2 linked regions of the Astyanax mexicanus genome follow. The protein of the gene in region 1 interacts with the protein of each later gene in a biochemical or structural test. Links are inferred from orthologs where the notes say so. Each region holds a gene or a part of one and is shown on either strand. Other genes may lie near its edges. The genes, in order: tnksb and rnf146.

Region 1 (11,811 bases):
TCAGGTCTCAGCTCTAATGGAATATAATAATAATATATTATTGTTTACGTGGAAATCACTCTGTCCTGCTCTTCGTTTTGCTAATTGCTAAAGCTGGTGATGTTCTGATGTGGGAGAAAGTGAAAAGGTTGCACTGATTTATTTTTTTTTGATGACAGAAAATGTTTTTAGATGGTGCCAAATGCAGATATGTGATGATTATTTTTCCTCAATAAAGGAATTTCAGACAAATAAACCCCTCCCTTCCTTCAGTTCAGTCTACAATAGAAGTCTGGTAAAAATCATCACTGTGCAATGAAAAACAAGCATCTCCATTTTTGACCATTTTTAGTTTACTATACAAACTGTCCCTTACACTGTGCCCAAATTTCTTAATGAACGGACCAATAGAAACTCTTCAAAATTACCTTAATTAGTTTTGAGAGTTTTTTCTCTCTCCTATAAAGTTGCTGTTTTGGAGATACTTATTTTTCATATATATAAACAGAGTGGTCTGGTAGGTTTGCTGGATGTTATTGCTATATATGCAGAAAGCATTATGTCAGTATTTCATAAATAAATAAAATGATCAGAACAATATTATACTCAAAAACAAAGACTTTCACACAGTAATTTATTTACATTAACCTGCATTAAAAGAACTCTTCAGCGTGCTCTCTGCAATTACACACTCTCACCAGAGAGGGCTCCAAATCCCCTAATCCACAAAACTTACAGACTGTCGCTAATAAAATAAAAGATTTTTATTGAAAAATAACCATATAATTTGCAAATATGCAAGTAAAATGCTTTAATCACAAAAAAATAGAAAATAATAAAAGACTATTATTAATACAAGCTTGTGTACATGTGTGTGTTGAACGGGAAGTACACACATTTTAAACATTTTAATTTTTGCATTATAAATTGTTAATGGTAACTCTTTAGGAGTGATTTGGTGTCAAATTCTATTAAACATTTTGAAAAGACTTTGGGTCTAAATTTTTGGCTTAAAAAAGTAACCAAAGAAAATGTGCATTAGTTTAGATGTCCCACCATATCATCTTCATCGCCATCATTATTATACCATATAAACTCAGAATCAGTGGTGGGTTTGAAAAGTAAATAAAATATCTATATTTCTACTATAAAGTATAATTATTTGACATTAAAACTACAGTTTTAATAATAATTTTACACACTGAATAATACAGAGAATTTTCAACATTTGGTGGAATTTCACTTTAAAATAAATAATGTTTTGTGGGTGTCAAAGGGTTCTCAGCAGGTCAGGGTAAAACACACAGCCTGTGTGTGTTTATGAGTGTGTGTATATGTGTGTGTTTATTAGCCTGTGTGTGTTTTTGTGTGTTTTTGTGTGTTTTATGGCACCATTTGTCTCGTTTACTTCCTCCAAGAGAAAAAGACACACAGGGCAGAAGCTATTTGTATCAGAAAGTTCAGTAGCTTTATTACTTTTCATATATTCATTTTTATTTCTCATCAGTATAAAGTATATTTAAAGTAAATACACTACAGAGAACACCTCATACTGCAGCACCAAATCAAAACCACAACAACAGCGCCCTCTAGTGTTCAGAGCTGGAGCTGCAGTGTTTAAACTGTACTGCAGAGAATCTTTAACACACTGTAAACGGAAAAGTTTATCATTATGTGAAATGGAAGCTTAAGAGTGGAAGAGTTGTGTGTAAACAGTATTTTATATATATTTTAATCTGATTTTTGTGCTACTAGCACTGCACTACATCTCCTCAAACTGCTGCTGCTTCTAAAACACTACCACTGCACCTCAACACGCTTGGAGGAGAACACTAACTTACTCTGGTGGGTTTTATGTGTAACAGAGAGAGAAAAATTTAAGTTTTGTATGAATATATTTATATATATATTGAGCCTGCCAACACATCTCCAGTCCACAGAAGTTTACTTGCAAGCTCTTAAATACTGTATACAGTAATTCATTATTATCCACTGCAACTGCTAACACTGCTAATAATACTAACCTGAGATAATGCTGAAAATAATGACCTAGTAAATAATTAGAAAATTATTGAAAATGTTAACGATTAAAACTAGTTAGTGTAAAAGACCTGATTCCCAGCTCCAACATCCAAATCCTGAGGTAAATGGAATGCAGCTAATTTTATGGTAAATGAGGCACAATGCAATAAGTAGCCAATCAGAACAATCAGAGGTTATTTACATTTATTAGTCTTAAAGACACTGAAATAAAAAATAAAAGTCTAATTATACCTAGAGATCAGAAGATAAAAAAGAAACTATAAAAAGTATCATAACTCTTTATATATTAATAAAAATATTATTTATTTTACCCATTTATCTGTTTATTTAGACGTTAGCTTACAAACAGAAAGCAGTTTATAAATACAGAGTTAGAATACTGAAGAAGATCAGTGTTAGGATATACGGCACATGCCATCTCCAACACCACACCTTAACATCATCAACTCCATTATGTCCAGGTATCCACCTGAGAGGTAGGTGTGTGTGAGTGTGTGTGTGTGCGTGTGCACTACAGTACAGTGCACGTGGATGACTTTTTGGAGGGTGGATGTTCCAGCTGTCCGTCGTTTACTCCTTCTTCATCATTACTGAACTTATCCTTCTGCACACCTGAACACACACACACACACACACACACATTGCTCGTACAAATGTATAACTCAAAAGGTCAGACAGTGCAGTGTAGCTAACAAGATATATAATCAACATGCTTCTTACTGTCTGTTTCAAACTTTAAATAAATTATATACATGAACTTACATGATTTTAGACAACAAGATTCTCTACAACTTCTATCTGTGCACATTATTCCATGCTGTTTGGATACACAAACTACTGTATAATGCTAACCTAGGGTGCTAACTGATGACAATGCTAAAAACTGTGCACCGTGCAGCTTTATTTAGGGTGTGTCAGTGTGTCTTTGCTATCGTAACGATGGGAAAAGTACGCACTGGTTCTCTTAATTAATCATGGATGTGGTTAATTTTGGCTGTAAAGTTCCAGAACACCACGCCCGTCAGTGTAGATATATTCAGAAGCTCTGCTGCTGTTTAAACCAGGCAGAAGGAAGGAGTGAAAATAGACTGTTGGTGGGGTGTAAGATAGCAATGAGCATCATTAGATTTAGTGCATAACATGCCTTGGCTGAATAACTAAAGAGGGGGTCTTCAGTTTAATACTATAAACAGTTGTTTACATGCTAAGACGTTTAATATTTTAAGTTTATCTGTAAAAACAATTACAAAACCGTGTCACAGCAGCTTTTCAGAAGCCTGATTTTCCCTCTTTTATAAATAACCATTTGCTTTATTGCAAAAAGCAGCAAAAACAACCTCATCATTTGACCATGTGCCTGAGGTAACCTCTGACCTCACAGTGATCAGTATAACTCACCCTGCTGACCCTCAGAGCGAACGTCTTCTTTACCTCCAGCTGCAGCAGATCTACATTCAGCCTGTGGAGCAGAACACACACAGTAAACCTCACACATCCATCTGGTTCATTATAAAGCTGCCATTTGTTCTGATTCTTCCAGCAGATGGAGGAAGATCTGCACCTCTAAAGCTTTCTCCAGCAGCGTCCTCTTCTCCACAGAGAGAGTTCCAAAATACCTGCAGAAAACAACACACACATCATCACAACCTACACACTTTACCTTAGTCTAATTAAACAGGATTTATTACAGCTTCTGTAATAAAATGTGCAGCAGGTCAGTGTTCTTTAAATAAAGATGATATCCAGGATATGTTCAGAAAAGTATATTTTGTATTCTGTTGACACAACTATTAATGATGCAATACAATAATACAGTTCACCCTTATTTCAGCTTGTCCAGAAATGTGTGTGCAGAGCAAATTCTGAAATTCCGCTATCTGACTGTAGGGGGAGCCCAGGAGCTAGAAATGGCAGTTCAAACATAATGCTGCTTTAAATTAATCCATATACCGGTAACTAATATATACAGCTCTGAAAAAATTAAGAGAGCACTGATTTTGTTATTTATAGGTTTATGTTTGAGTAAAATGAACATTGTTGTTTTATTATATAAACTACAGACAACAGTTCTCCCAAATTCCAAGGTTACCAAGATGCAGAGCTTTCAGACCTCAAATAATGCAAAAATAAAAAGAAAACAAGTTCATATTGATAAATATTTAGGAGTTTAGAAATCAACATTTGGTGAAATAACCCTGTTTTTTAAAATAACACAGTTTTCATCTTGGCATGTTCTTCTCCACCAGTCTTACACACTGCTTTTGGATAATGTTATGCCACTCCTGGTGCAAAAATTCAAACAGCTTGGTTTAAAGTTTTTTAATTTGGTAAAATCAAAGAAACTCATCTTTTTTATGTGGGCTCTTATTTTTATTCCAGAGCTGTATATTTTACTAGTCTAGACATTTCAGATAATCCATTTTTAATGATTATGCTTATCCAACAAGTTCTAATCCGTCAGATTCTGGTAATAATGTTTTGCTTGTTAAAATAATCCTGCTGATTAATATATTATATATCTAATATTCTAATCCACATTGTTAGCTCATTTGTGAATGACTGTTTATCTTTATTTCTTAAATAATTCTTCATGAATAAGACTTTGAACAGCAGCATTTCTGAACTAAATTGTTTTTAGGAATGTAGAGTTAGAGCTTCATTTCATTTTCAGACTGTATTCACTATAAATGTATTTTCTGATTATAGATAATAGAATAAACAGCAGCAGATCTGGGGCCTGTATATAATTGACACACAGATCTAAACCCAGTAAACACATGAGTTTATCTACAGATACTCACATCTTCAGATAAGAGCCCTGGCTCCTGTTCCCAGTGCTCATCCTCCCAGCAGCTCCAGAGGAGGTGGGCATTCTGCACCTGCATTCCAGCAGCCCAGTAAACACAGGCCCAGTTCAGTCCCAGTCCCCCCAGCAGTGTGGATTCTGGTCCAGGTCCAGCATTGCTGTGCTGCAGCAGCACTACTAAGGGTCCCGTGGGTCGCGTGCTGCTGCTGATCCGGGGCCAGCCGGCTGTTTGTTGTTGTCTCCATGGCAACACAGGGCACTATTGTTCACTTCCATCCCTCTCACCATTAGCAAACATCAGCAGAAACTAACTGGTTCTGACAGACCTGTAGAGTTCTGAAACTCTGGGTCACAAACACGGACCAGCGCCGGGTCTTGAAATCCAATACTGCTGCTGTACCCAATTACTGAATTACAATACTGCTGAGTATTTAACTACACTGTAATTCAGTATCAGATTTCAGTGTGTAAAGAGGCTGTACTGTCTTAGACTCTGTTAGCATGCTGTTAATATCAATGCTTCTTCATTAAACCGAAATCTAACTGAAAACTGAAGTCATAACTTCTGCTTTTATTATGTAATTTATTGATGATTTATTGATTTTTATATAAAAATCTGCAATTATACAAATCCAAATCTGGGAATTTGGGAATCAAAATGAATTCAAGGTATTGATATTGCAAGGTGAATATATTTGTACAATTAGCAGAATATCACAAAAAAAATGACAGTAAAACATTACTTCACTAAATTAGACTGGTGAATCAGCACAGTGTAACATACACAGCACAGCTAAAACAGAGCAGTCTGATTAACACAACACAGTTAAAACAGCACTTTTAGTACTGAGCACAGATATAGTACTGAGGAAATCGGACTCTGCTGTTTTAGCTGTGCTGTTTTAACTGTGCTGTGTTAATCAGATTGTACTGTTTAGCTGTGCTGTGTTAATCAGGCTGTGCTGCTGTTTTAGCTGTGCTGCGTAATTCAGACTGTACTGCTGTTTTAGCTGTGCAAATCTGACTGTACTGTTTTAGCTGTGAGGTGTAAATAAGACTGTGCTGTTTTAGCTGTGTTGTGTAAATCAGATTGTGCTGTTTTAACTGTGTTGTGTAAATCAGATTGTGCTGTTTTAGCTTTGCTGTGTTATTCAGACTGTGCAGCTGTTTTAGCTTTGCTGAGTAAATCAGATTGTACTTTTTTAGCTTTGCTGTGTAATTCAGCCTGTGCTGTTTTAGCTGTGTTATTCTGCTGTTTTATGGTAATATCTGTATCAGCTGATCGTGCAGAGACTCTCGGCGGAAGCCCGCCTCTCCCTGAGCGGAAGTGTGTGTGTTGCTGTGTTGTTGACAGAGTGTGTGTGTGTGTGTGTGTATCTGGGTATAGTGTGAGGGAGACTGTACGGGGTTTTGTATGTAACGGCTGGGTGTAATGGCGGTGTCCCGGCGCTCGTCTCAGCACCACGGCGGCGGGCTCCAGTCCCCCCCGCGGCTCTCCGCCGTCTCCTCGCCGCCCCTGGACTCTCCTCAGGCGGACACGGCCGCGCTGAGCCCCGCGGAGGCCTCTCCGGAGCGGCCGGGCAGCAGCGGAGCCTGCAGCTCGGCCAGCGGGGCCGCAGGCAGCGCCAGCCCGTCCTCAGCGGCCCCCAGCCCGGGCCAGGACAGCGGCGCCTTCCGGGAGCTGTTCGAGGCCTGCAGGAACGGGGACGTGTCCCGGGTGAAGCGGTTGGTGGACGCGGCGAACGTGAACGCGAAGGACATGGCGGGGAGGAAGTCCACCCCGCTGCACTTCGCCGCAGGTCGGTCGGGGAATCTGTGGAATCACTGCGCTGCTGGGCTTCGGGTTGTTTTCCAGCTTCTGTTGGAATTCTCCGTTCCACCTTAAATTCTGCTGCAGTTACATTATGTTCCCACAGGCAGCAGAACGGAACAGCTGTACTAGTTAAGGTGGAACGGAGAATTCCCAAACGAAGCCTACGTTAGCGTTTTATCGGAATTTAACTTTAATTTAACCGATTAATACACATCTATGGGTTATCAATAGCTGCATTGCGATCAATAACAATGTTAAAAGGCGAGATGTGGTACAGATTTAACCTCTAAACATGCCGAATAAACGATAATGGTCACGAAGTAGATTAGCCAAGAGCTAACTAGCCTAGCCTAGCCTAGCTAAACAGCTAATAACCCCCAGGAGCTGTAATAGGCGAGCAGCGAGCAGTGTGTGTGTGTGTGTATGTGTATATATATATATATATATATATATATATATATATATATATATGCACAGATATAACTGATCGAACAGTGTGATTGGTCAGTGAATTGTACGAGCGGATGCTGTGATGATTGATAAAAATTGCATGAACAGTTATTATTGATCAACGGGTTTGATTGGTAGCAGATATTATATGGTTATTGATTTGTGTAATAGACTGTTGTGATCAATTAACCCTAACTCAAGTAGTACAGCATAAGGCTTTGAATACTTTGATTAATACATTGATCATCTTTAAGTGATTGGTAAACATGTCTAAATCTAAAATTATTAATCTTGTTAGTATTATTATTTTTAATCAAATGATACATTTTGCAAGCATCAACTATTTGGGAAATTTAAACTATTGATCAAAATCTATTGATTAAATGCAGTGAGGGGTAAAGAGGTATTATTTACTAAATGTTATTATTGGTAACCAGCAATTCAGTAAAGCATAATTGGAAAACAGATATTATGATTATTAACTGATGAGTTAATTAATAAAAATTATAGTAAGCCCATTTTTATTTTAAATGTTATTTGTAAACACTAATTATTGATCTAGGCTGTCATTAGCAAACATCCAATTTTGATAAGATGCTGCTCTTGGTGAAAATAAACAGCCGTCATCAATAAGTAATACAGCATGAGGCTTTAATTACTTTGATTGATACATTGATCATCTTTAATTACGTGATGTCTATGTCTAAAAATCTTCTAACATTCTTGATCAGATGATGTAATTTATGAACATTATGCCTCAATCAAAGGTTGTGATTGGTAAGCCGATGAGGAAACGCTTTTGTTTTGACCATTGGAACTAATGGTCAAAACCCATTTGATTTAAAAGCAGAAAAAGGTAAACAGGCACTAAATGTCATTATTGGTAATGAGCAGTTGATAGGAAAATAGCTATTATGATTATTGATCACATGTTAAGATTGGTGAATAGCTGTAATTGGTCAAAATTATAGTATATATCTTGTGCTGTCATTAGCAAACAACAAATATTAATAAAATGCTGTGATTGTGGAACATCTGTTATTGATTAAAAGATGCGTACAGAACCTTCTGCATTGAAGTTCTTTAGTAGATCCGTTCCTAATATCTGCAGTCTGGTATAAAGTGTGTTTATGGAGTGTCTCTGACAGCAGTGTAAATAAACGGATTGGCAGTGGAGGGATTAATATAGCCGACGCCTGATTCTTTAAAATAGACCTGGATCAGCTGTGATGCGGATCTGCTGGAACGGTTCTGGGCGTGTGATCGTATATTACAGTCAGTGCTGCTGCTTCAGCCTCAGAGAGGTTCTGCTGGTGTTCTGGGTGTGTTTGGTTCTGCAGGGTCGGGTTTTGATGTGGTTCTGTTGTTTGGTCTCTGCAGGTTTTGGCAGGAAGGACGTGGTGGAGCATCTCCTGCAGACTGGAGCTAACGTTCACTCCCGGGATGACGGTGGGCTGATCCCGCTCCATAACGCCTGCTCCTTCGGGCACGCCGAGGTGGTCAGCCTGCTGCTGTGCCAGGGGGCGGATCCCAACGCCCGCGACAACTGGAACTACACGCCTCTGCACGAGGCCGCCATCAAGGGCAAGATCGACGTCTGCATCGGTGAGCAGATCAGCACCGTCACGCATCTGTATCTGATATTTAAATTACATCATATTAAAGAGGAGATCCGCCCTCAATATCTGCGGGTTTCCACGTTCTCTTAGCATGTCTCAGAAATGGTCATTAAAGGTCAAATTATTCTATAGAGTCAAATCTATGGGCTGTCTAGGATTAGGCAATGTATCAAGAAATATTTGCAAATAAAAATATTCACATTTAGAGCATTTATTTACAGAAAATGAGAAATAACTGAAATAACAAAACAGATGCAGAACTTTCAGACCTCAAATAATGCAAAGAAAACAAGTTCATATTCAGTTTTAAGAGTTCAGAAATAATCAGTATTTGGTGGAATAACCCTGGTTTTTAATCACAGTTTTTTTCATGCATCTTGGCATCATGTTCTCCTCCACCAGTCTTACACACTGCTCTTGGATATCTTTATGCTGCTTTACTCCTGGTGCAAAAATTCAAGCAGTTCAGGTTTTCAATTTGGTAAAATGAAGGAAAAACATCATCAAGTGGTCCCTTATTTTTTCAGAGCGGTATATACACACATACACACACACACACCACTGTTATATACAGAGTGGTGCTGTTGATGCACTGTGGAGAGGGATGATCCCTCATCAGTAACAGTAACGATGGGAAACCTTAGCGGTAAACACACACACACACAGAAGCATCGTGTGTGTGTTTCAGACTCGTGCTGAATGCCTCTGTGCTTACACACTGCTGAGGCAGCATGCTGAGTGTGTGTGATAGAAAGTGACAGCATCACTGGGATGTGTGTGTGTGAGAGAGAGAGTGGCTATAGTCAGGTTCACTCTTGCCTGAGTGTGTTTAATCGTGTGTGTGTGTGTAGTGTGCGTGTAGTAATGGTGTTAATGTCAGGTCTCATAAGAATTCAGTTCGATTTCGATTCATTGAATCATGAAATCGCTAGTTTCTCCTCAGTTGAGTTGAGTGATGGTGAATACATATATAACTGTGTATATAAGTAGAGAAGCTGTGTGCACTGGGTGGTGGTGGAGGTTCAGTTTGGTCTGCAGCAGTGTTTGCTGGTTTGTGTGGTTAGTGGTGTTTGTTAGCTCTGTTGAATTGCTGTGCTAATAGCTACTCACTGTATGGGCTGAGTGAAGCACTCTGCGGAGGGGTATATGTTAGTGGGGTTAAACTGTTTATTCTCTTGCCTTTATGAGACGCTCTACTTTTACACATTCTGCAAATTAAAATGAAAGAGCCGAGCCTGAGTGGATGCAGCAGTGCTCTGGCTGTGTAGGGGTGGAACAAGGAACTGCAGCTTCCTGTAAACTGCAGTGAACCTTAACAGCTTTAAGGATATACTACGTTAGGGAAATATTGATTGATTGTGTATTTTAGCTTAAAATGAGCAAATACTGATACATAGCCTATACAATATATACAGAACAGTAAATTGAACTTAGGAGTAAATAAAAAATAATAAACTGTAATAAATAACCACTCATTATTACAGTGTAATTAAGACATTTGCAACCATAGCTTACAAAACACTCCTCATTTTCTAATGCACAGAATTCTGAATTGTGGATATTGACTCAAAATATATGCAATCAGATTAATTAGTGCGATATGTGAATTTAATAAAACATACAGAATCTAATCTTTAATTTTTTGTGATTATTGTAAATTGTAAAAGTGTTTTTTTTCCTACATCAGAAGCTGGAAATGCAGAACATATTGGAAAATGTGTATATCTGTGTATATTTAATTTAAAAATCTATATTCTATGCATGTGCTTTCAGTGCTGCTCCAGCACGGTGCGGATCCCAACATCAGAAACACAGACGGCAAATCAGCTCTGGATCTCGCAGACCCCTCCGCCAAGACCGTCCTCACCGGTACACACACACACACACCTCACTGAGTAGTGCCTTTGTTATGTAACCCCCCACTGTTCTGATCAGTGTGTTCTTCTGTCCACAGGGGAATATAAGAAGGACGAGCTGCTGGAGGCAGCGAGGTGAGTGTGTGTGTGTGTGTATGTGTGTGTGTGTGTCAGCAGCCACACCCCCCCACACCCACCCCTCCCTCCGTTGCTAAGGGAGTGTGCTACAACAGAATGAGGAGGATACCCATTACCTCCGTATCTTTACAGCTCCTTCAGATTTACACTGGAGCTACGATGCTAATGCTAGGTATCACTATAGTGACGATATCACAATACTGTGATCACAAGACAATTCTCTACGATACTTCACAGCATCTGTGTTGCTAAAGAGGATAAAATACTCCTCAGTGCAACATATTATAGTGCACACTATCAATGAACGCCTATTGGTCTATTTTCATACATAAGGCACACCGGATTATAAGGTGCATTTTAAGTGACAATAGTAAGGAACATGGGTGTCGCACAGTAATCTACACAGAAAACTGATTGTTTGGGTGAGTAAAGCGCTTCCGTTTATGTACATTAAGCTATCAGCTAGCAGTTTGCCCCACGTACCTCGTTTTATACTCACCTCTGAATGGCAAAAAATCAAGTGCTGTAATAAGCGGCTAATGCTAACACTGAACACTGCCCCAGCCTTAGTGCTGGAGAAACTTCACTGAAACTCCTGTATAATGCTGCACTTTAGGGGGGAGGGGGCGTGGCTTAGGGAGTATTGATAATGTATCACAAACGAAAATTATATGATATTTTGCAATATTTTGTCCCACCCCTGCCCCTACTAAAAGTAATGGAAGCTTATGTGCAGCAATTATACCTCAAATTGACTGATCATCAAACACGTCCTACTGGACTAACAAGCACTCAATGAGCCCAGTGAATCTACAGCATGACCTAATGTAAATAAATATATATGTATAAATGTGTGTTTGTGTGTGTGTGTGTGTGTGTTCTTTCAGGAGTGGGAATGAGGATAAGCTGATGGCTCTGCTGACTCCACTCAATGTCAACTGTCACGCCAGCGATGGACGCAAGGTAGCTCATACACACCTGCACACACTTCACACACACACTCACACACTGCATTATATCCTGTGATGCACTATAATTCGATCATATATATTTTTTTGTCTGAAACCTAACAATAAGAAACTTTTTTCTGAAGTCTGAATACAAAAT
Region 2 (11,697 bases), on another chromosome or scaffold:
GATTAACGAACATTGAATCTCATAGACCCACTTTATTCTCAGCTGAACATAGACCATATAAAAGATGTTGAACTTGATAAAAAAAACTTTTACTCGTTAATCAAATCATATTTAATTATATAGCATTTTAACCACTGTAATAAAGCTGTTTTACCTAAATCTGGTAGCAGGACAAAACCACACAAAACACAAAACCCCCAGTGAGCAAGTCTAACTTTAGAACTTGATGGCAGATTTCCAACTAAAGGATAAAAACTAAATTGTACTTATTAAAAAAATAGCTGAAGGAGCAATTTGCTCTACTACTTCACATGACAGGATATAAAAAGAACATTTTAGAGAGAAAGGGACTCTCAGAAGAGTCTCTCACAGATGGGCAGAGATTCTCCAATTTGCTTAAATTGCATCTCCAAATATGAAACTATTTAAAAAGCATGGCCCTGTCTTAACTTTTTGAGATGCGTTGCTGTCATGTTCTAAATAAGATTATGTTTTTCATTAAATGGAAAAATGTCTCACGTTCAACATCTCATATGTGTTCTATTTTCTTTTGTGAATAAAATATGGGTCTATGCAAATCACTGCATTCTGTTTTTAATTTAAAGTTCTTTACATGTAAAAAGTGTCCCAACTCTTTTGGAATTTGTTTTTTTTTTTAACTCAGTAACAGTATTACTCATTCAGATCAAATGACATTTTGTTCAATTATAATCTAATCTATTTAGAAACAGTATTACCCTATTAGATGATATGTTAATCTGTTCTGTTCTATTCTATTTACTCCATTTAGTTCACATTCTATTATATATTATAGCAATAATACACGAAAGGGAGTGCTATAACATGCAATATTGGCAATGCAGTGTTGCGGCCATAGATTATATGTTATAGCACAAACCTTGAGTGTATTATTGCGATCATACCACAGTTCTGTTATAGCTGTTTATTAAAAGATTTTAAGTTAAAGGGGAGGAAAAAAAATACGATCTGTTTGGTTATAAAAACTCAGTGAGTTTAAATAGTTCCATTGCTGCTCTGTTTGTAGCTGCACTGTTTGGTTTGTAAGCGCTGCATCATTGCTAGGTTACCTGTGTGTGGCGGAATAATACATGGAGAGCTTTAGTTACAGTGCATTACCAGCTAATAATGGCACTCACAAAACACCAATCACTCAGCCAATCATATTGCAGGGTCGGAACTAACTGTGGTATAATCAGTAATTAAATAATCTATTCAGATCATATGACATTCTAGTCTAATATAATCAAATCTATTCAGGAAAGGTTTTACCCTGTCAGATCATATGATATTGTATTCTGTTTTATTCTAAGCTACCGTTTTTAATCTACAACAGTGTTTTTGAGACTTTTCAGTCTGGTTTTAACAGAGACTGTAAAAAAGATGGACGCCGCGCAGGGCCGCCGCTCTGCATACGCAGACAACGCAGCCAGCGTTAGGCCTCAACCATTTTGCAGTTGCAGGGAGCCAAATTGACTGAGAATGAAATGTGTTGAAATTATGACATTATTAAATTTAAAACCCAATGTGAATTATTTATGATACGCTCATCTTTTTTGTCTTTAAACATTGCATGGGGCACCTACTCTACTACTTAAAAGCGGCACGTTATTATTTTTGTGCATAATATAATGCCCCCACCCCTATTGCCTGAAATGGCACGGCTCGGTTTGCTCTGTTGGTTGTTGCCAGATGTGACATTTTCCAGTCAAATAAATAATCAAAAAATGCATGGAGGCGCTAAATCTTGCGCATGTTTAACCATTTTTAAAGTGTATGTGGCCATTCTATACAAAAACTTGTCCAGTGCAATATTTGTGTAAGTTAAAAACAATAAACAAATAGGATGAAAAATCGTAACTTATCTGGCAACCTTAGTCCTAACTAAAGTAGCAACGCTACTTGAGTTTGGCAGGAGACAAGTTCACCGCGCGAAGTTGCTACTAAATGGTAATTCAACTATGAAGCGACGGTTTGAGTCTGGAGCTGAGAAGAAGAAAAAGAAGCAGAAAGATGAGGCCCATGCATCCCTTTCTGGTGAGTAACTTCGATGATAAAGGTTTAAATAGTTTTGATTACTTCATGTTCAGTGGTGTTGCCTGAGCTAGTTATGTTGGCTTTGCTGATTTGGTAGCTTTAAACGCTTAACTAGAAACTAATCTGGGTATTGCAAGGCACGTGGCACGTTTGCAAATAGTAGTAGTGTAGTTTGAAGATTTTTAGTGACTTTAATAAAAAAATAATAAACAGAGTAGCCTACCTATTGACTAATGCCGTCAGTGCACTATCCAAATGGTCTGTATGACAGCAGGATCAGACAGCTCTATAGATTTTGACAGGCTGATATAAATACACCACGAATATAAACGATAATTTCATAACCTTTAAGGCTGGCTTGTGTAAATGACGTGTCCACTGCTTAAAATAGACATGCATCGTTTAATTTATTATTTATGCATTATAAATAGTACTCTTGTGCTGTTCTTCACTGTTATTGGCCTTACTTATAACGTTGTAAATATTCACAGTTACATGTGTAATTTTAATAAATAGTAAAATTTTGCGTAAACCTTTTGTGTTTGTGTGTGTGTGTGTTTTTTTTTTTTGGGGGGGGTGGGGGGCCTCCCTGACCAGTTATGCTTAGGGCCTCCAAAACCTTAGCAGCGGCCCTGACGCCGCGTCCCCGTTCCCATTCATTCAATAAAAATTAAGCCAAATTTTTCCGCTATTTTGGGGATCCTGAAACCCGAGTCTGAGCAGTAGAGACCAGAGGAGGGAGAAAGACTGTGGAGAGACAGCCTACTCATTTAAATAAACCTGCCCCTGAGGGCTGCCTCCTCAGAGCTATACACAGTCTATGGTTCCACCCATACAGTCATTGGTCCACCCCCGGCCCTTTTACAATAACCACACCTTTTAGAATAGAGCTGAATAACGTTTTTAAAAACAAGTTCTGTGGGGATATAAAAACTTTGACAATATAAGCAGAGGTTACACTAGCTGCTGCATTTATATAAAGGAGGTAGAATTACAGTATATTGGAAAAAAACGTGATTGAAAGTTGTCTGTTTTGCCATTGAAACCTATGAGGATGGGTGGGGTTACACAGCTTCACTTTTGAGAGACGATGCTCTGTCCAGCTATACACAGTCTATGGCTTTTAAGGCTATGCACAGCACTGAATATGCGCTCCTTAAGATGACAAATGACCTCTTACTAACTGTCAGTTCAGGAAATAGCACCATCCTTATGTTATTGAATCTAAGCTCTGCTTTTGACACAGTTGATCATATGATCAATATACTTACTGGTCAGATAAAAGAGTGGGTGGGGCTACTGGGTGTATGAGCTACTGCTATTCCACACCTTGATGTGAGGTGTGGTGTTCCACAAGGGTCCTTACAAGGGCTCATCCTGTTTTTACTATACATGTAGGTCAAAATATTAGGAAGCACAATGTCAACTTTCATTTTTATGCTGATTACTTAGAGCTGTATCTTCCTATTAGACCCAATGGCAATGACTCATTTATGTCACTCAAGAATTGTCTTGAGGACATCAAGAAGTGGATGGCTGTTATTTTCTTCATCTGAATGAAAGCAAAACAGGGCTGATTCTTTTTGGTACTCCCCATTTCTGTAACAATGTTTCTAATAACCTTGGTCATCATACGTTAGGTCTTCAGTGAGAAATCTGGGTGTTGTTTTTGACACAGACCTCAGATTTGATAAACAAATTAACTCTGTATTAAAACGTAGTTTCTTCCAGCTCAGAAACATTGCAAAACGGAAGCCTTTTCTCCATTTTTCTGACCTTGAGAAAGTTATTCATGCTTTCATCTCTTCACCAGTAGACTACTTTAATTCTTTATACATAGGGATTAACCAGTCTCTTCTGCATCACTTACAGTTAGTTCAGAATGCTGCATACACATGAAAAGAAAACATACACTCTAAGAAATATAAGTACAGATTTGTACTTAAAAGAGTACAAAGCTTGTCGCTGGGGCTGTACCTTATATTGAGGCACAAAAAAGTACCTTTCAGTGAAAGTCCTTTTTTGTACCCATGTTTTTTGTGGCAGTAAAGATCATAAAGATTATAAACATTATCATCAACTAAATATGGCTCAAAAACTTGATGATACAAAATTGTCTGGCTTTCAAATAAAAAATGTGCAATTTAAATATATATTGTTCATTAGTACAGTGGTACAGAATACTGAATGTACCCTTTGGCTGGTTAAATGGTACAAATTTGTACTTATTGCTGTTAGAAATGACTTTGTACTTCAGAGGGAACAAATCTGACCCCGTAAAGACCAATATTGTACCTTTGAGGGTACAATTATAAAGAGTGTACCTTCGAGTACAAAAAAGTACTCATATCGTACCTCTGTTTTTGAGAGTGTATATAACCAGTCCTCTCCTCACTTCACTGGCTACTAGTCCAATATAGAATACAGTTTAAAGTGCTTTTAGTTGTCTTTAAAGAAACCTTCCTTTATTGCAGATTTGCTCACCTCCACAGTCTCACTGCACTCTCTGAAATCATCATTACTGAATGTGTTGGCCGTGTCTAGGGTTCTTCTGAAACGCAAAGGTGATTGTGTATTTTTGGTGTATGCTTCAAGACTTTGGAAAAAAAGTCTGCTGCCTGCTATTCACCGAGCTACCTCTATCTCGGTTGTTAAATCAGGTCTAAACACTCACTTTGCTAAGTGCGGACCATGCCTAATTGAAGTAGAGAAAAGAAAGAAGAAGGGGAGGGAACTCTGGGAGTTTTGGGCTGGAGTTCTGAACTGCGTGCTGAAGAAGCGTGCAGTTATATCCCCACCTTTTTTAATTTAATAGGAAGTGATAGAGTAGAAGAAGGGGGTTGTTGGGGAGGAGGTGGGTTGCGAACTTTCGTCACGAGAGGTAGTTAGTCAGGGCAGGTATTTATAGGGCGGCTGATTGATACAGGGTGGAGTTAGAATGTAGAGTTTGGGCGTGGTCCTTCTCCCAAACTTTTGTTATTACATTACATCATTTATACAAACTTCCTTTGGACAGTGCGTGACTCAAATTCAGGGCATATTTTATTCAGTTCTATTTTATTTTGTATTGATTCAGATATCTTATAATATTCTGTTCAATATTAATATTCTTTGTAATGTTCAGGTCATATTTTATTCTATTCTATTCTATTCTATTCAGTATTACCTATTCAGATGCATTATAATATTCTGTTTTGTGTTCATCTTGTAGGTAATTCTATTCAAATCATATTCGATTGCATTGTGTTGTTATTGTATTCAATGTGTGTCTTTTCTGTAATGTTATTCTATTTGGGTCATATTCTTTTCTATTCTATTCTATTCTGTATTATATTGTATTCATATTGTGATGTGATGTTATGTTATTGTGTTCTGTTCAGTATTTATATTGTATGTAATGTTATTTAGGTTATATTTTGTATGGTGAAGTGTTGTTATTATGTTCTGTTCAGTATTTGTACTGTATGTAATGTTATTCAGGTTATATTTTGTATTGTGATGTGTTATTATTGTGTTCTGTTCAGCATGTTTATTGTATGTATATTGTGATATGTTGTTCTGTTCAGTATTCATACTGTATGTAATGTTATTCAGGTTATATTTTCTATTATGAGGTGTTGTTATTGTGTTCTGTTTAGTGTTTATATTGTATGTGTTCTTATTGTGTTCTGTTCAGTACGTATATTGTATGTAATGTTATTCAGGTTATATTTTGTATTGTGATGTGTTGTTATCATGTTCTGTTCAGTATTTATATTGTATTTATATTGTATTTGTTGTTATTGTGTTCTGTTCGGTATTTATATTGTATGCAATGTTATTCAGCTAATAATTTGTATGGTGATGTGTTGTTATTGTGTTCTGTTCGGTATTTAGATTGTATTTATATTGTATGCATTGTTATTGTGTTCTATTCAGTATTTATATTGTATTTATCTTGTGATGTGTTGTTATTGTGTTCTGTTCAGTATTTATATTGTATTTATCTTGTGATGTGTTGTTATTGTGTTCTATTCAGTATTTATATTGTATTTATATTGTGATGTGTTGTTATTGTATCTGTTTTGTATTTATATTGTATTCATATTGTGTTGTGATGTTATTGTGTTCTGTTTAGTATTTATATTGTATTTGTATTGTAATGTGTTGTTATTGTGTTCTGTTCAGTATTTATATTGTTTCTATATTGTGATGTGTTGTTATTGTGTTCTGTTCAGTATTTATATTGTATTTGTATTGTAATGTGTTTTTATTGTGTTCTGTTCAGTATTTATATTGTATTTATATTGTAATGTGTTGTTATTGTGTTCTGTTCAGTATTTATATTGTATTTATATTGTGATGTGTTGTTATTGTGTTCTGTTCAGTATTTATACTGTTTCTATATTGTGATGTGTTGTTATTGTGTTCTGTTCAGTAGCAATGTTATTATTACGCCTCCGGATCAGGTGTTCGTGCCTGTCAGTGAGTCACTGTGCGCTGCGCTATAAAGCCCCTTTCAGCGCGTGACGCCCCGTTTAACCAATATCATCCACTTGCAGCGCCGCCGCTGCTGCGCACTTCCCTGCGCAGTGCTGATCCGCTCTAAGGCGCAGTTGTCAGTGCTGTGTTCGGTTTGAGCTCGAGCTCCTCGGTTAACGGACAGCGCGCGGGTCTGAGCGGAACCAGGATGAGCCGCCGGGCCGGGGGCAGCTGAGCGAGTCCGGATCTTTCCTAAGCGAAGGGCGCGAGCTGGGTTTATACAGGTGAGCCGGGCGGTCGGGGGTGTTATAGCTCGGCTAGGCTAGCGGCGGGCTACCGAGCTCTGTGGAGGAGGTTTAGCTCGGCGGCTAGCGAGCGGCAGGCTAACGGCAACATTCCCACAGAGACTAAATCACGGACAGCGGCTTTTATCCGGACAAAAACCCGGTTATCTGGCTTTTCGGGAATGTTCGGGGTTTAGACCGGGATGTGTCACGGCCGTAGGTCGGCTAAAGTTACCATTAGCAGAGAGCCGCGGCCTCCGCTTACAGCTAGCTAACCTAGTTAGCTAACCCAGTTAGCAACAGCTGTGTTTGTTAGCTTTAGCGCTTTAGCTTCTCAGCGCTGCTCCCAGAACAGATGTTCAGTAAGACATTAAAACAGCCGCGGCCATAAAGAGCAGCTTATATATTCATTTATTCGCTATTTTTACTCAAATTAAAGCCATTTTAGTCTCTGTTTCTTATTAGTGCTCAGTTTAAATGCCTGCAATTAGCTGTAATTCTGAAGCAGATCAGGGTCAGCGCCGCTGAAGGAGGCTTTGTTTGTTTTGGCCATTTTATCGCTGTGTTGCCATCAGCTGTCACCGTATTTGAGCCGCAGTCTATGTAGAGTTTCGGGTTGTACACAGATGACCAGCTCCCAGGTCAGTTTTAAGCTCTTCCAAATGCCATCAGGCTTGATTTTGTGTCTTTAAAATTGACCCTAGGCCTGTAACGATAACTATTTATTGTGTACGATGTACTGTCCAATAGGGCTGCAACGGTTAGTCGATATAATAAAAAATGTCGGTTATAAAAATATGTCGACTCTAAATATTCATTGTTGACTTAAATAGTTAATTGGTAGTACTACACAAATGGGAGAATGGTATTGGTCTCACTCGCACAGTTTACACTCACCTGGGCCTGCGTCTCCAAAAGTGCCCAATTACAACAGAATACATATTTCTTCACTAAATAGCAGCACCTGAGCTCATGTTCATCTGTTTCTATTGTTTTGTAGGGATAGAGAAAGCTAGAAACAAGAGACGTACCCACAACAAACAGAGAAGGAGTGCATGGCAGAAACAATCGTTGACCAGTTGTCTAATCGAAAAAACAATTGGCAGATTAGTCGACAGACAAAACAATTATTAGTTCCAGCCCTACTGTCCAAGAATTCATTGTAATAATTATTTAGTTGTAATTTTAGACCGTTCTGTGCCATTGGTTTACTGATAACAAAATGTATCAGTAAGTAGGAAAATGTATTTACACCTTTTTAAGAGCATTGAACTTTAAATTTGAAATACAAAAATGCTCAATATTCCAAATAAATACAATTAAGCTGATATGTAATTTTTTTTTATCTGTTCAGAAAGGAGCATCTGTTTTCAGTGAAAGTTTAATCTGTCTCTACTTATTCAGTGTTAAAATAGATAAATAAAAGGTTTAATGTTAGCTGGTGTTTAAACACCCAGTCTTGAGTTAAATTTGAAGGTAAAAGGGGTAAAACGAAATTGTTTGTATGGCTTACCCTTACAACGCTACCAAACATACAAACAGGTTTTATGGAAAGATGAATGTGACAGCAGATCATATTAAGCTTATGATCTACATGTATTTTATCATTTAAATCACATGATAATGTAATCTGTTCAAAATACAAAGTGTACTGAATACTGTTATGTGACCTAGATTTTCCTCAAAACTAGTTGTTAGGTTGAGGGGCAGAATTGTTTAACTGAGGGAGTACATTTATTTTATTTTTCTGTTGATTTTTCTATTTTATTTCTGCCTTAACATTTTAGATGCTCTCTAGATAAAATAAATATAATATAATATAAAGATTTTTCATTAAATTTCTTTTTTTCCCTATTTAGTAGATTATTTAGGTCAGAACGTTAGAGGAGGACAGCATTAGACTGTTGTGTAATGGCAGCCAGAGAGCCAGAGACAATGAACAAAAGACACAAACAGCTTCTGTTTTAGTGAAACTAGACTAAAGGAGGTTCTGTGAGGACTGTTTGTGCAGCCTAGTCATTTTAGACGTTTTAAAATATTAGTTTCTGGTAAATTCTTTATCATTCTCCTATATTAACAAACATTGTGACATAGATATTTGACAATTAGTTTTTGTGGTTGGTGTGGGCAATATTTTTATTGTCACTTGTTGCAGTATGTTGTGTTTAATTTCCAGTTAAATTTGGATCATTTTATGCTGTACACATTTTTGTACATGTTGCAACAAATTTAACACATTCTGAACAGCATATAAAATGTTCCAAAACATTTGTTCATGTTTCAATTCATTATTAATTTTATTTCATTTTAAAACAGTGTAGAATTGGTACTCTTGCACTACATTAGGTAACCAAGGGTTAACTGACCTGTGTGTGTCTCCATGTCTTACGCATTGTGGAATTCATTTTTCAATTTATTTTTTTCTCTCTCTCCTTTTTCAGAATGGCTAGCTGTGGTGAAGTCGATCACTCCGTGGATGCACTGGCCTCAGGTAAGAAGGTGGGCGGAGACTCTGTGACCAGCAGCAATGGAAGCCCCTCCCCATCTCCACCTGCACTGCCAGTCCTGGAGTGTGCCATCTGCCTGCAGAGCTGTGTCCACCCGGTGCGCCTGCCCTGCCGCCACGTGTTCTGCTTCCTGTGCGTGAAGGGCGCCTCATGGCACAGCAAGCGCTGCGCCCTCTGCAGGCAGGAAGTGCCCGAGGACTTCCTGGAGCGGCCTACGCTGCTGTCGCCTGAGGAGCTGAAGGCCTCTGCGTCCGGCAGCCGGGGGATGGGAGCCGGGGACCATGCGTGGTACTACGAAGGGCGCAACGGTTGGTGGCAGTACGATGAGCGCACCAGCCGGGAGCTGGAGGATGCCCACAACAAGGGCAAGAAGAGCGCAGAGATGCTGATCGCTGGCTTCCTGTATGTGGCAGATCTAGAGAACATGGTGCAGTACAGGAGGAACGAGCATGGCCGTCGGAGGAGGATGAAGAGAGACGTGGTGGACATCCCTAAGAAAGGGGTGGCTGGACTGAGGCTGGATCCTGAGCCTGGAACTACATCTGGAGTGGCAAGCGGATCAGGATCAGGACCTGGATCTGCATCAGCTGGGTCACCAGGTGTCAGTGTTACAGCAAGCGGGGATTCGTTGAGCAATATGGACGGAAGTGTGCCAGAGAGAGAGAGTTCAGCAGATGGGGCAGACACGGTGGCCAGTGCGGGGCGCCCTCAGGTGGGATTTGCCCCGCCTCCTGTCCGGCCACCTACCATACTGGGGGGTCACCCGAGCAGCCCTGCAGCCTCAACCCCCTTGTCTCTTGTCCAGGCATTGGCTCAGCTCAATATAGGCCACCCTGGGCCTGATGAGGAGGAGGACGATGATGAGGATGAAGAAGACGATTCGGTGGCTCCTGATGCTTCAGGATACGAGTCAGAGTCAGGCACAAGTGAGGATGTTGATGACGATGATGACCGCGCCGGTGAGGAAGGTGGCGGCGAGCGGGCGGATGGGGCTCAGGGCAGGCATAGACTGCAGCAGCTGGACAGACTGCCCCCTGGTGGTGGAGTTGGTGGTGACGGAAGTGTTCGCTCACGCAGCCCCGATGGTCAGTGCACGGTAACAGAAGTGTGACCCCCACCAGCTGCCAGCGCTTTTACTGTTGCCATCGTGACGCACTGGCCACCTAAACGCCCATCTGCCAGGGTACTGCTAACAAATGTCCGAAAAGCAAAAAAATTTCAACATAATAAATCACATTTAAGGAGTTTCACAGTGGCACAGACTGGGGACGGATATTTAAGGACTTAAGGAGTTGTGAGGAATGCAGACTTCTCTAGAACAGTGGTTATCAAATGCTCCTCCTGGAGATCTACCTTTATGCATGCTTCACCTTCTTCTTCTTCTTTCAAGTTAAGCACACCTTATTCAGCTGATCAAGCATTTGCAAAGGCAATAATTGATAAGGTGGGTCTGGTGGAAGGATCTAGGTCGAAGCAGAATTATGCATGAAGTCAGATCTCCAGGGTTGCAGACCACTGGTCTAAATAAGGAATTTGGTATTAAGAGCTTGGGAACACATTGATGCTGGTGGAAATTTCACTAAGAACGGGGGAGTAATTAACAAAGCAGGATTTCTCAGTTTAGCCAGAGGTTTTGTCTTTAGTTTATAGTCCAAACCTGTCTAATCTGGAATGGTAAAACATGGCTACAAATCCTACATTGTAAAATAGACTCTAGTTCTCTGAGTGATGAGCCAAAGTGGAACCATTTTCACACTTTCGCAAATCTTAAATTTACATGCCAATTTCTCATGAACACAAGCTTCACAATTACACTCATCCTGTACAAAAGTGCTTCTTTTAAAGAACATTTTAAGATGAATTAATTTTAGGTTAAAAAGTGGTTCTACTCCAGCATTACACAAAGAACCCTTGCTGGCTGCTTTAATTTTAAGATTGTTCAGAAAATTTCTTTAAACCTTTAAGATTCCTAACACTCTGTTTCTCAGGCAGTTATTACAAATCCTTTTATTTAGAGGTTTTTTAAACTCTCACATCTTGTTTAGTTGACATGTTTCTTTAAAGAAACATTCATTGAATATTTGTAAAGGCAGACTGCTGTGACTTTTCTGTGGCCCTGATCTGAGGAAACATTTTGTAGCCTTTATTTTAAGAGTGTGAAGTGATGCTTCTGCTGGTGGATTGGGTGGAAGTTCTCCAGTTTTCTGAGAAATCCTTCTTTGTGGAGTTTTTCCCCCTTCAGTGTGTTTGAAATTAGAATTACTCAAACCCACACTTCTTCAGTTTTGCTTTGTTCTTTCTTTTTGTTCTCTTTTCTCTGTGATTCTCTTTGTCTTTATCTAACAGGGCTGTGCTCCAATGTTCTGCCATCAGGTGCAGCAGTAAGAACC

What was found.
Region 2: the proteins of tnksb (region 1) and rnf146 form a complex in vitro, tested with the Homo sapiens proteins (3 studies listed by BioGRID and IntAct, with this or other methods). The link is inferred for Astyanax mexicanus from reciprocal best matches to the Homo sapiens genes TNKS and RNF146.

The regions. Positions count from the first base shown.
Region 1 is NC_064429.1:11,654,885-11,666,695, reverse strand, and holds the start of tnksb (tankyrase, TRF1-interacting ankyrin-related ADP-ribose polymerase b), read left to right. Parts: upstream 1-6,173; 5' UTR 6,174-6,260; coding exon 6,261-6,627; intron 6,628-8,471; coding exon 8,472-8,696; intron 8,697-10,483; coding exon 10,484-10,579; intron 10,580-10,664; coding exon 10,665-10,701; intron 10,702-11,591; coding exon 11,592-11,667; intron 11,668-11,811.
Region 2 is NC_064420.1:22,197,274-22,208,970, forward strand, and holds the start of rnf146 (E3 ubiquitin-protein ligase rnf146), read left to right. Parts: upstream 1-6,597; 5' UTR 6,598-6,800; intron 6,801-9,241; 5' UTR 9,242-9,242; coding exon 9,243-10,418; 3' UTR 10,419-11,697. UniProt on the Homo sapiens protein: E3 ubiquitin-protein ligase that specifically binds poly-ADP-ribosylated (PARsylated) proteins and mediates their ubiquitination and subsequent degradation. May regulate many important biological processes, such as cell survival and DNA damage response.